Arabidopsis thaliana: one gene and its partner. The protein of the gene in region 1 interacts with the protein of each later gene in a pairwise test. Each region holds a gene or a part of one and is shown on either strand. Other genes may lie near its edges.

Evidence for each region.
Region 2: the proteins of AT1G11730 (region 1) and AT5G55950 interact in a protein complementation assay, tested with the Arabidopsis thaliana proteins (one large-scale study listed by BioGRID).

Annotation. Positions count from the first base shown.
Region 1 is NC_003070.9:3,955,538-3,961,168, reverse strand, and holds AT1G11730 (Galactosyltransferase family protein), read right to left. Parts: upstream 3,886-5,631; 5' UTR 3,697-3,885; coding exon 3,581-3,696; intron 3,001-3,580; coding exon 2,916-3,000; intron 2,837-2,915; coding exon 2,808-2,836; intron 2,712-2,807; coding exon 2,518-2,711; intron 2,435-2,517; coding exon 2,371-2,434; intron 2,265-2,370; coding exon 2,192-2,264; intron 2,107-2,191; coding exon 1,986-2,106; intron 1,904-1,985; coding exon 1,816-1,903; intron 1,713-1,815; coding exon 1,587-1,712; intron 1,488-1,586; coding exon 1,378-1,487; intron 1,205-1,377; coding exon 1,056-1,204; 3' UTR 705-1,055; downstream 1-704. Other genes in the region: SS3 (starch synthase 3), read right to left, coding at 4,329-4,458, 4,542-4,665, 4,761-4,872, 4,966-5,097, 5,176-5,358, 5,444-5,572. UniProt on the Arabidopsis thaliana protein: Beta-1,3-galactosyltransferase that transfers galactose from UDP-galactose to substrates with a terminal glycosyl residue.
Region 2 is NC_003076.8:22,657,353-22,662,142, forward strand, and holds AT5G55950 (Nucleotide/sugar transporter family protein), read right to left. Parts: upstream 3,154-4,790; 5' UTR 2,902-3,153; coding exon 2,823-2,901; intron 2,675-2,822; exon of another isoform or gene 2,607-2,674; coding exon 2,455-2,606; exon of another isoform or gene 2,370-2,454; coding exon 2,161-2,369; intron 2,083-2,160; coding exon 1,989-2,082; intron 1,891-1,988; coding exon 1,724-1,890; intron 1,638-1,723; coding exon 1,467-1,637; coding exon of another isoform or gene 1,406-1,466; exon of another isoform or gene 1,384-1,405; coding exon 1,059-1,383; 3' UTR 760-1,058; downstream 1-759. Other genes in the region: emb2731 (Uncharacterized protein family (UPF0172)), read right to left, coding at 321-542.

The DNA of each region.
Region 1 (5,631 bases):
CAGTTCTATTTTTAGCAAGTATTTAAGGGAGTAAAAGTACTAACAAGAACGTAAAACATTTGTAATTACTATCTGAAACTTTTGTCCATAAGTTAGCTGTGGAATGATTTATCTTATTTGTTATTTAAAGAAAAGTGTATATGTTTATTCGCTTGTTGTTGTTAATCTAACGAAAACGAGGAAGTCTGTTTTTGGACTTATTCTATCAGATAAGGTTAAATCTATGAAATTTCATCAAGTCGGTCCACATTTCCGGAAGTATGTTTGTGACAAATCAAATTATAATATTTCTAGTTTAGTGAAAAAAGTAAACATGTCAGTTTTTTTGTTTACATTTTCCCCAGACAAATGTCCAACCAATGTTAGACGATAAGAGAATTACCAGCTAAATAAAATAAATGCTCGAACTTAAGAAAACACATGTAAAAAACATCCACAACATAGAAAAGTCAAGACCGAATAAAGAAATTATGATATCGATCTGAAATCCAAAGATGCGATCGATTTAATCCAAATCATTTGAATAAACTTAGGAGTTTTGTACCTATATTGATACTCCTGTTTCACATATATGTCGTTTGAGGTTATTACACTTGTTCTGAAACGAAATTGAGTTCTAAAACGAGAGAGTATAAGTCCAAAAGTAACTTAATATATATATATATATATATATATATATATATGGTCCCATAGAAAGGTAAGAAAAAACACACAAAGGAGTGCAATGAGAAGCAAAAAGGACATGTGGAAATTTAATAAAAAGGCACAACAATAAGGACTCTCTGTCTGTCATAGGACAAACCAAATGTGACCAAAACATTATTTCTTGTCTCTCATTAAACCACTTCACTAACTATTTTTTGCATACATTTATTCATTTTCTGACCAAAAACCCTACTAACTATATAACCCCACCCAAAAAAAAACAAAAAAAAAAAACAGAATTGTTTTGAAATCTTTTCGCTCTCTTTTTTTTTTTTAATCATTCTAAATTATTAGCAAGTTATAGCATTGTAGTAGTAGTAAGATATAAATTTTGTTTTCTATAAATATTTTCAGGAATTTGACGTCCATAATGCATTTTGAGGTTCACCACAACGTTCGTGAACGTCGGCCATCCTCTCAGCCGACCGACAGATTCCGCTGCATTTCCAGTCGAACGACGCCGCGCAAACATGTCCCATCATTGCTTTTAGTTCACAATCTGTAAAGAAACAATAATGCTTTAGAATATGATTTTCTTAGAGAAATTTCTAAAACCTTGATATATTTCATACCAGTATAAAAGCTTTTCTGTTGTAAAATACTAAAATCAACTTAGAGTAAAACCGGTAACATCTATGGATTAAACCAAACCAGGATTGTTAAGCTCTTTACCTTGAGAAGTACTGCAACAAAGTCTTTTTTCATCAACATGTTCTACATTCAATCCGATGAACCAAGATCCCAACGAAACATCTTCATTCGCATACTTATGCAGTAAATCCCTTATTTCAACAAAATAAATAGAGATCGTTAGAGGTTTTTCCCAAGCATTCTGGCTGCATTAAACCGCTGGCTAAAACCAAGTTAGGAAAAAAACTTACTGGTTTATCAGTATGTAAGTAGCTAGATCTTTAGATATAGCATAAAACTGTCCAGTGGCGTGGCGGAAATACTTGTTCCCGACTTCTCCAAACTTCCAATACTCTGGCTCATGGTACTTCACACTCCTGTTTTTTTTTTTGCCAGAAGTATAGAAAGTCCGGAAAGGTTGATGCTCTTACGCTGTTTAAGTACCTAAAAAATGCTCACCTTAGTAGGGTTTTTACTTACTTTCTGGCTAGGACGGGACCAGACTTCATGCAACCAACATAAACCCGAGGCTTGTTTTGGTGTGCGGATAAAGCCTTCTTGAGGGAGGCTGCAAAAAATCGGATCAAGGCATCAAAACAAAATGGATGGATGATATATAAGACATAAATGAAACATTTTGATTTTCTTACCAAGATTCACATGAACGTCATCGTCAACTTTGATGTAGAATTCTGCATCCCACAAGGAAACAGCGGTAGCGAAAAACGTCTTTGTCTTGGCAGATAACTTCATGTATCCCTCCGTATGTTCCTGTTTTGTTTTCTAAAGCTTTGAATAAATGTAGCACGAAAATACCAAACACAGAAAATTTTGTGAGAATTGCTCAGAGTTTTACCAGTCTCAAGAAATCACCATGTGTTTTCTCTTCTGCTTCAATAGCTTTATCAAGAATCCCGTGGGACAACACACTGAAATCAGAACATTCCAAGAACATAAAAATGTCGGTATACACAAAGTAAAGTATAGTTATAAATGCTTAGTTTCTCACTACAGAACATGACTTCTCCTTTGTACCTATGTCCTATAACAAAGCGAACAATGATGCCTTTCTCTTCTTCAAGTTTCTTAAGATTCTCTCCTGAATGATAGTTTAAAAACCGTAAAAGTTACAATTTCTGACTAATTTAAACTAGAAATCAAGAAAAGTAGAAACAGACTTACCTTGTGGCATCCATGTTGACCGGACAGAGTCACGTCTCTTACGACTACTAAAGGCCGTGTTAATACCGATAACCATGAAGTATTTTCTTTTCTTAGCTTCATTGGATATGTTAAATTTCCCGGACAATGACTCACGTTCAGCTCTAGCAGCTACTAGTTTCATCTCTAAATTTGAAATGGATTTATCTAAGATCCTGCAATTTGTTTTGAGTTCTACAACATCATCATCAACTAAACATACATAGTAATTGTTCATAGATACATCTAGTCAAATTTCTAAATGGTTTTACCCGATAGTGTTGTTACCATAGTCCAAAACCTGCAAAGAAACACAAGTTCAAACAATGTATCATCGAATTTCCAAGTGAATTGATGATGCAAAAACGTAGAAATCTTACATTCTTTTTATCGCAATCACTGGAACTTAAGCTTAGTTTGGAGAGTCTTGATATGCCTCTAGCTTCAGGTACTATATTCCACATCCTGATATAATGATGATCATTATCCCATGAGATCAAAACAAACACAAATCCGAACCAAAATTCAGATCAAGTCACTATCTATCTCAGTGATACAGATTTTTGAAACAAAAAGAAGTAATCTCTATGTTATTTTCATACTTTGTGGACAATGTGCCATTCAAATTATTCAATTGTTCCTCTTCCGACGATACATTAAGCAAAGAGATTGATCAAATACTACAAAAGTTACAATGTTCCACTATTTGATCAAATCTATCTGATAAGCAGTATAAGATATAGTTTTTTTTGTGTGTGTCTCTTGATTCCTCCTCACTAAAGCTACAAGGACACAAATAGACCAGTAGTCTTGATAAAAAACAAAAACATGCCTTCACCGACAAAACTCAAAGCTTAAGAAATCTACTTAAATTTTGAGAAACACAAGATAGATTCAGTCCCAAGAAGATGAAATTAGAAACAACAAAATACTTAAAAATCCAGAAAGAAAAAGAAGCTAGAATCAAACACGAACAGTGAGATATCCAAACTTTAATAAGAAATCGTCGAACATAATAAAAATGGGGCTCATGTAATAGATTTACCTGTTAGTGAAGAACATTCCAAGGCAGAAACTTGCGAGGCACATGAAAAATACAGAGTTTCTAGAAACTACATTTCTTGGAGTAAAATTGTAATCTCCTCTGTTCTTGAATGACATTTGGATTTGGTTTCAGGACTCAAATCCAAAAAAAGCAGAGAATGGTCAATGCAAAATCAAAGATTTGTTAATTTGGAAGTCAAAAGATTCAAGCTTTTTTTGTGGGTCTATTTACAGTACTTTTCTGCACACTCTCTTTCTCCCACTCTCTCTCCGCATGAAGAGAGAACAAACCCACTAATTGAATCACTTTTTATATAACTTACAAGTTTGGTAACGTTTTGGCATATACAATAATGACGTTTCAGATTATAGATTTTGAAGTTACTAAAATATTTTAAACTGATGATTTTTGCTACTAATGTAATGATAACTGCAGCTGCAGATCTAGTACCGGAGAAAAGAGTTACGTACTGTTCTGTTTCCGGGTCAGATTTGGAATTGTGAAAAAGTACTAATTTAGTTAGAAACTGGAACAATGTGAGAAAAGTACTAACAGTGTGTGTATAAACTTTGCTTAACTTTTGATTTATTCAGAATTACAAAAGCAGAATCCATAGACCTATCACGTTTTTTATATTGCTTTGGGAATGTAAAAGAAGAAGAAAGGATCAAACTCTCTAAGTTGTCTCATAAGCTAATTTCTGTACATACAAAGAGAATTCATCTTAGAGCTTCCATTTTATTTGGTCTTACTTGCGTGCAGAGTGATAGAGCTCAAGATACTCAAGTGCAGGACGGTTCCATGACCAGTCTTGCTCCATCACCGTCTTGCACAGCGAGTTAAACCACTCTCTACCATCGTACCACGCCGATATCGCCCTGGGAACAAAAGGAAACAAGAAACATCGGTTCATAATGCTCGAATCAAAAGAGAGTCTTAGTTTAGATTTTGGTTGGTTTACCTATTGAGAGCATAATCAACACCAGGAGCATCAGCTCCGTCGAAGCTGAAACCATTAGGTTCTAGAACTTGAGCTTGTGCCCTTTCTTTATCGTGGTCAACATCAAAAACCGTATCAAAGAGTCCTGTTGGACAAAGATAAACCATTACCGTAAAGTCAGCTTGGTCTTGAGTGAAATGGGTAAAGCTTAAGATTCTAACCATAGCCAAAAACAGTTACCTCCAGTTTTTCTAACAACAGGAACAGCGCCGTATCTCATGGCTATGAGCTGTGTCAGTCCACATGGCTCAAATATCGACGGTACAAGAATAAAGTCAGCCCCAGCATAAATCTGGAGAGTAAAACACAAAAAGACTTAAAAGAGTAATACCGACAGCAAATAAAGGAACGAACTACAACTAAAGGTTTGTTATTGTCTTTCTACCAAATGGGAAAGAGGTTCATCGTAGGTTAGAACAAGCCGAGCCCGGTCACCATGAGAAGAATGTAATTGGTTTGCCAAGTTTACAAAATCATTTTGGATCCGAGGATCTGGAGCTGAACCTAATAAGACAACCTGCTTTCAAGAAAACCGGTAAGGATTGTGAAAAGTTCATGACAGGACTTTTCAAAGGTCGATAAGGCTCGAAAGGACCTGTCCATTCCGTTCCAAGGTACGCCAAATAGCGTGCTTGATCAAATGTATTCCCTTCTGGTGTGTTAAGCGCGTAATAATTCCTACTACTGGAAAATCGGCACTCTTTAGTCCAAGCCTGTTTTGCAATTCTTCCTTGGCTGCTCTTTTGCCTTCTACAACGTTCTCTGAAGTATAAGGTACCTAAGAAACACACAAAGTGTTCAAACATCACAAGATGTAGAAAGAAATCTAAAGACAGGAAAGGAGAGGATGTGATGAAGCTTACGGGAATAAAGTTATCGTTATATGGATCCCATATATCTGGGTCAATCCCGTTTATAATTCCGTGAAATTTGTATAAATGTGCAGAGATTACAGAGTTTCCAGCAACTTCCTTAGCATAAGTTGGTGAAACCTAGTATAACGTTAAGAGCAGACCGAGTCATGCTCATTTTCAGATTCTTCAGAGAAAAA
Region 2 (4,790 bases), on another chromosome or scaffold:
CAAAAAATATACCTGAATCCGTAAGTTTTTCTTTAAAGGATATAGGTACAAACAAAGCTACAGAACAAACACATAAAGATCTGAAATTTCTATGTTAATATAGAAACAACAATAAGACTTCACTGAGAATCAAGCAAACATATAGAAAACTAAGAACAAGCTAATAATAACATATGCAGCTCAAGCTTAGTACACGAACTAAAAATTTCCAGAATTCGTAATTCAATATACATACCAATGCAATCAGATCATAATCTCTTTCAAAATTCAATTTCAAAGCTCGTAAAATCAAATCGATTCGAATAAGAAGAGATACGAACCATGATGAGGGAGATCTCGAGAGGAGGAAGGAGAGCGAGGTTAGAGTGAAAGAGCGGCACAGAATCTGAGATCTCTACAACTCCGTCGTCCTTAGGGCTGATTCTACCGACGAGGACTCCGTTGACCGCCGCCGTCTTGTGTCGCAGCGAGTGAAGAACGAGTTTGATGTACGCGTTCTGGGAGATCTCATACTTCAATTCTCCGTTACTTCCCATTCCCATTTCTAACTCGATCGGCGACTCACTGAGTCAATTGAAAGGAAAATTATAATGTCGCAAAAGCAAATCGAGAAATCGTTCTGAGATTTAGCTCCTTTGTTAACGACGGACAGTGGAATCTCGCACTAAACCGGGTTCGGGTCAGCCCGATTTTATCACCGAAAACCCTATTCCCCACAAGTTTTCACTTTACTACATTAAAGTTTTTGAAATTATAGAAAAAGTCAAAAAGGTTTATTATATTTACTAATTGCACCTCATAATACACATCAAGTGACGACAAAAAAAAAAATACACATCAAGTTTTACATTACTTCTAAACTACACCATCTATTTCATTATCGTACAAATAAACCCACCAAGCCCTCTTGTCACATTATGATATCAAAATATTTTTATTAGTATACTTTACTACACTAATTTGATATCAAAACTGAACCAATTTTACAAACTAAAACCTGAAGAAGAAAAAGTAAAACTCATTTTTTTTCTCTTTGGCAATCTAATCAAATTGTAAAACTATACGATATTTGCAGTTATCGTCTTGGAGAGAAGTGGGTCAACAGAAACTACGGTTACTCCGGTCTCTCCTCCTCCGTCGTCAGCCTCGGCTTTAGGTTTTGAAACGGTGACGTTTTGCTTTGGCAGCTGCTTGTTTGACATGTGATCGATGGATTTCCCCGGAAGATTGAGCCACGTGTAGACAGACATGCCTCCAAGAGCTGCGATAGCGCCGCAGATGCTGATGAAACCAGGGTCAGAGCCGAAGATAACGTAACCTCCAAGCAAGATCACACATGTCTTGAATTGCCCTAATACTACATGAGATGTTGCTGATGTTGCCCTGTAAGAAACAACAAATTTAGTTAGCATTTTATAACCTCAAGACTGAACTTCCAACCAAAGCAAGAGAACAAAAAGACTAACCCGAGAGCGAGTGCACCAGACCATTGGAGAAGAAAGCCGAGAAGAGCCGAGATGAGGATTGCGGAAGAGTTAGTTAAATCCCATTTGAAAAGCAAAACTCCAGGTGGGTCAAGCCATGGCATGAGAGCCAACAAGAAGAAGACAGTAAACGGTGTTGTCTTCCACATCAATCTACATTCAATAAAGCCTTTATTTTAAGAGACTTGTATTGCTTACACCTCAAGTAAAAGTAAAAGAGAGAGATTCTTATTTCTTACGCTAGGGCAGTCCAATTAGCTTGTTGCTGAAGATTAGACCAGAGTATTTTGTTAATGGCACTTGGAATAATCCAAGCAACAGCAACTAATGCACCAAACAAATTAAATTCTAGATCCGTCACTGTCGCGATTGCCACACCTAGAGATACTACAGCTAATGCCATGACCTGTAAGAGGACAAATTGCAAAAACAGAGTAAGCACCAAAAACATGTAATGAATTCTTGATTGTTTTGTTGACATGTCATAAAAGATATAAGCGAAACCTTTGTGGAAGAAATGGTTTTCTTGAAGAGAACAAACTCGGCAAGAACAATCGTTGGTGTAACTGCGATCTTAGCCATTTGATAGAATCCAACGCTGGAAACAAAGAAGAACAAAAGCTTTCAAGCTTAAGCTATGAATCTTGATTCAAACTTTAGCGATTGAGCTATGAACCTATTGTGTTTGAGACTGGTATTAGCGAGTCCAGAAGCAAAGGCCATGACAGCTCCAAGAGAGAAAAGAGATGAGAAAGGTGTTGTCTTTGATGGAGGAGACATTGGAAGCAAAGAGAGAGACTTGAAGAAAGCTAAAAGAATCCAAGCCACGGTATAATGAATCAATGTTAGAAAGATTGGGAAATTGAATCCAACTCTTCCCATCACCTGCACAATTCAACCTTACAATTACATTCACATGGTAAATAAAAAAAAGAGAAAGAAGAATTTGAGATTGAAGAAACCAAATTACTAATTTATTGGCAAGGATGATTCCAACAGCAACAACGAAATTAAAGGACATTGCAACAACAGGGCCACAAAATCTCTGTTGTTGCCTTTTAGCTCCTTCTGATGTTTTAAGCTCATTGTACAAAGAACTTCTGAGTTCTTCCAAAGCTCGTCCTACAAATTCACAAACAGATCAAAAAAGCCTAAAGGTCCGATCAAAACCATTAAAGATCCGATCAAAACCATTTAACTTAAACGGTGAAGAACAGAGACAACGTGGGAATAAATAAAGCATCATTTTTGATCATGAGAAATCTGAATTATGATGAGGCAAATCAAATGAAGAATATGGAGGCAGATTCATGAATTGTTGTTATAATAATGACGTACCTGCTTCTGCAGCATCACTATCTTTCCTTTTGAGAAATTTTCTTGCATCTTTTCCTAACAAAGAATCAACCAGACCCATCACACAGCAAATTAACAAAAATAAAAAATTTGCAATCCTCTCTCCGATTGTTTTAATATCTTCTAAGAAAAAAACCAGATCACATTTTCCATTTTGATGGAAGAAAAACTTTACTTTTAAACAAATAATACGAAAATGACTGAAAAAAATCTGGATTTTAATGTCATGGTATAATTGTTTCGGCTGTTGTACAAGAAGCAGAGCCCTTATAGAGAGAGAGAGAGAGAGAAAAAAAGATAGAAATTTAGCAGTTTGCTTGAAAACGCAGTTTCATTGCGTATCTTTCTGTTTTATTTTATTTTAAATCAATTTATCTCGAAAATTAAGAAAATTTTGAGGAATTTTTCAGGGATTTTTTTTGTTTCTCTTGAGGAAATTGTCGAGTTTGTAATTTGCCACGTGTTGACTTCATCAACGTACAAAATTGTGACTTCATTGATAAAAAATTATTCAGATCGGTACGAGGTTTTATCTTTCTTTCTTTTTTAATGCACAAAACATTCAGATTTTAGTGGTAGTTTTTATTTACAAGAGTGCCTCTGTACCTAACAAAATTAAAACACACACATATATATATATATATATATATGACATTAACTAACTACCAATTTTGTGATCACAATAATGACATTGTACATTTTTGTACATAGTTTAAGCTGCTAGCTTATAGTCATAAGCATATAGACGTCACCTCACGCAACATACTGTTGTGGAAACATAACACTATCAGTAAAAAAAATTAACTTTGAAAGAGTAGCGTTAATTAGTTCCGCAACCTACCAAAAGAAAGAAAGAAAGAAGTGTTAGTTAGCCAAATGATTAAATAGCAAAAGCTTTGGTTAAGTGTCATACGTATAAAGAGTAAATTAAATGAATTTTATGTATAAGTGATGAAAGTTGATGATACTTAAAAAGCTTATTATCACTTTACGAATAAAAATGACTTAACATGTACGCTTGACCTCGAAAACGAGAAGCTTTAATTCCAAGATTTCGAAGTCTCAACAAACTTTTGGAGCCGAGGGCCTACGTAATAAAACAAAAAGCTTGCATGGCCACGTCATCATCTCTTTGTATAAGTAAACTTCTTATTCTAATAAAAATGTAAGATTTGTGGATCCACTACTTTAATTTCTGTCGATTTTAGTATGATTGAAACATTAACACCGATAAAGTCAGGTCCCCTGGTCGTCTTTTGGTTCATAAAGGTAATCCCATTTTGGCGAAATTTGTTTGAACTTGGAAGTGGAAGAAGTGAAAATACATGTAGCACAAGACTGAGATTGACGAGCCTTATTGATTCGGCCCATTTTTATTCAGACCTTATGTTAGTTAACTGGCCCGATCAGCCGCCTGATGGCTGGTGAATAAACCCGATCATTACTCAATAAATCACACAATTATTATTGTAAATCTTTTTCATCTAACTAAAATACTGAACTTTCTAAACAATTGACCATTTTGTTTTGTTTATTGTTTTACAGAAGAATTAATGTTTCCATGCATTACGGATTTATAGTTAAGATTTTAAAGTCTAGAGGTTAGATTTAATTAGAGTTTGAATTTAAATTATTTTATTAATTTATGAAACTCTACACTATTTTTTTTAATAATGTTGATACAAAATTTAGGTTATTCACGTAATTCTCGTATTATGAATTTATTATGTACTTGACAGAATTATTTCATCAATCTTTTTTTCGTTAATTTTTTCCCAAAATTTTAGCCCATGTTTTTAAAAACATGGGGCCAACTTTTGATCATGATTCATGCATGATATCAAGCACTAATTTGTCATTTCCTAACAAATTTCCTGATAGAAAACTTGGGTCAACGTTCTGGTACGGTAATATTAAAAATTTATAATCAAGAAATGGAACTTCGTGCCA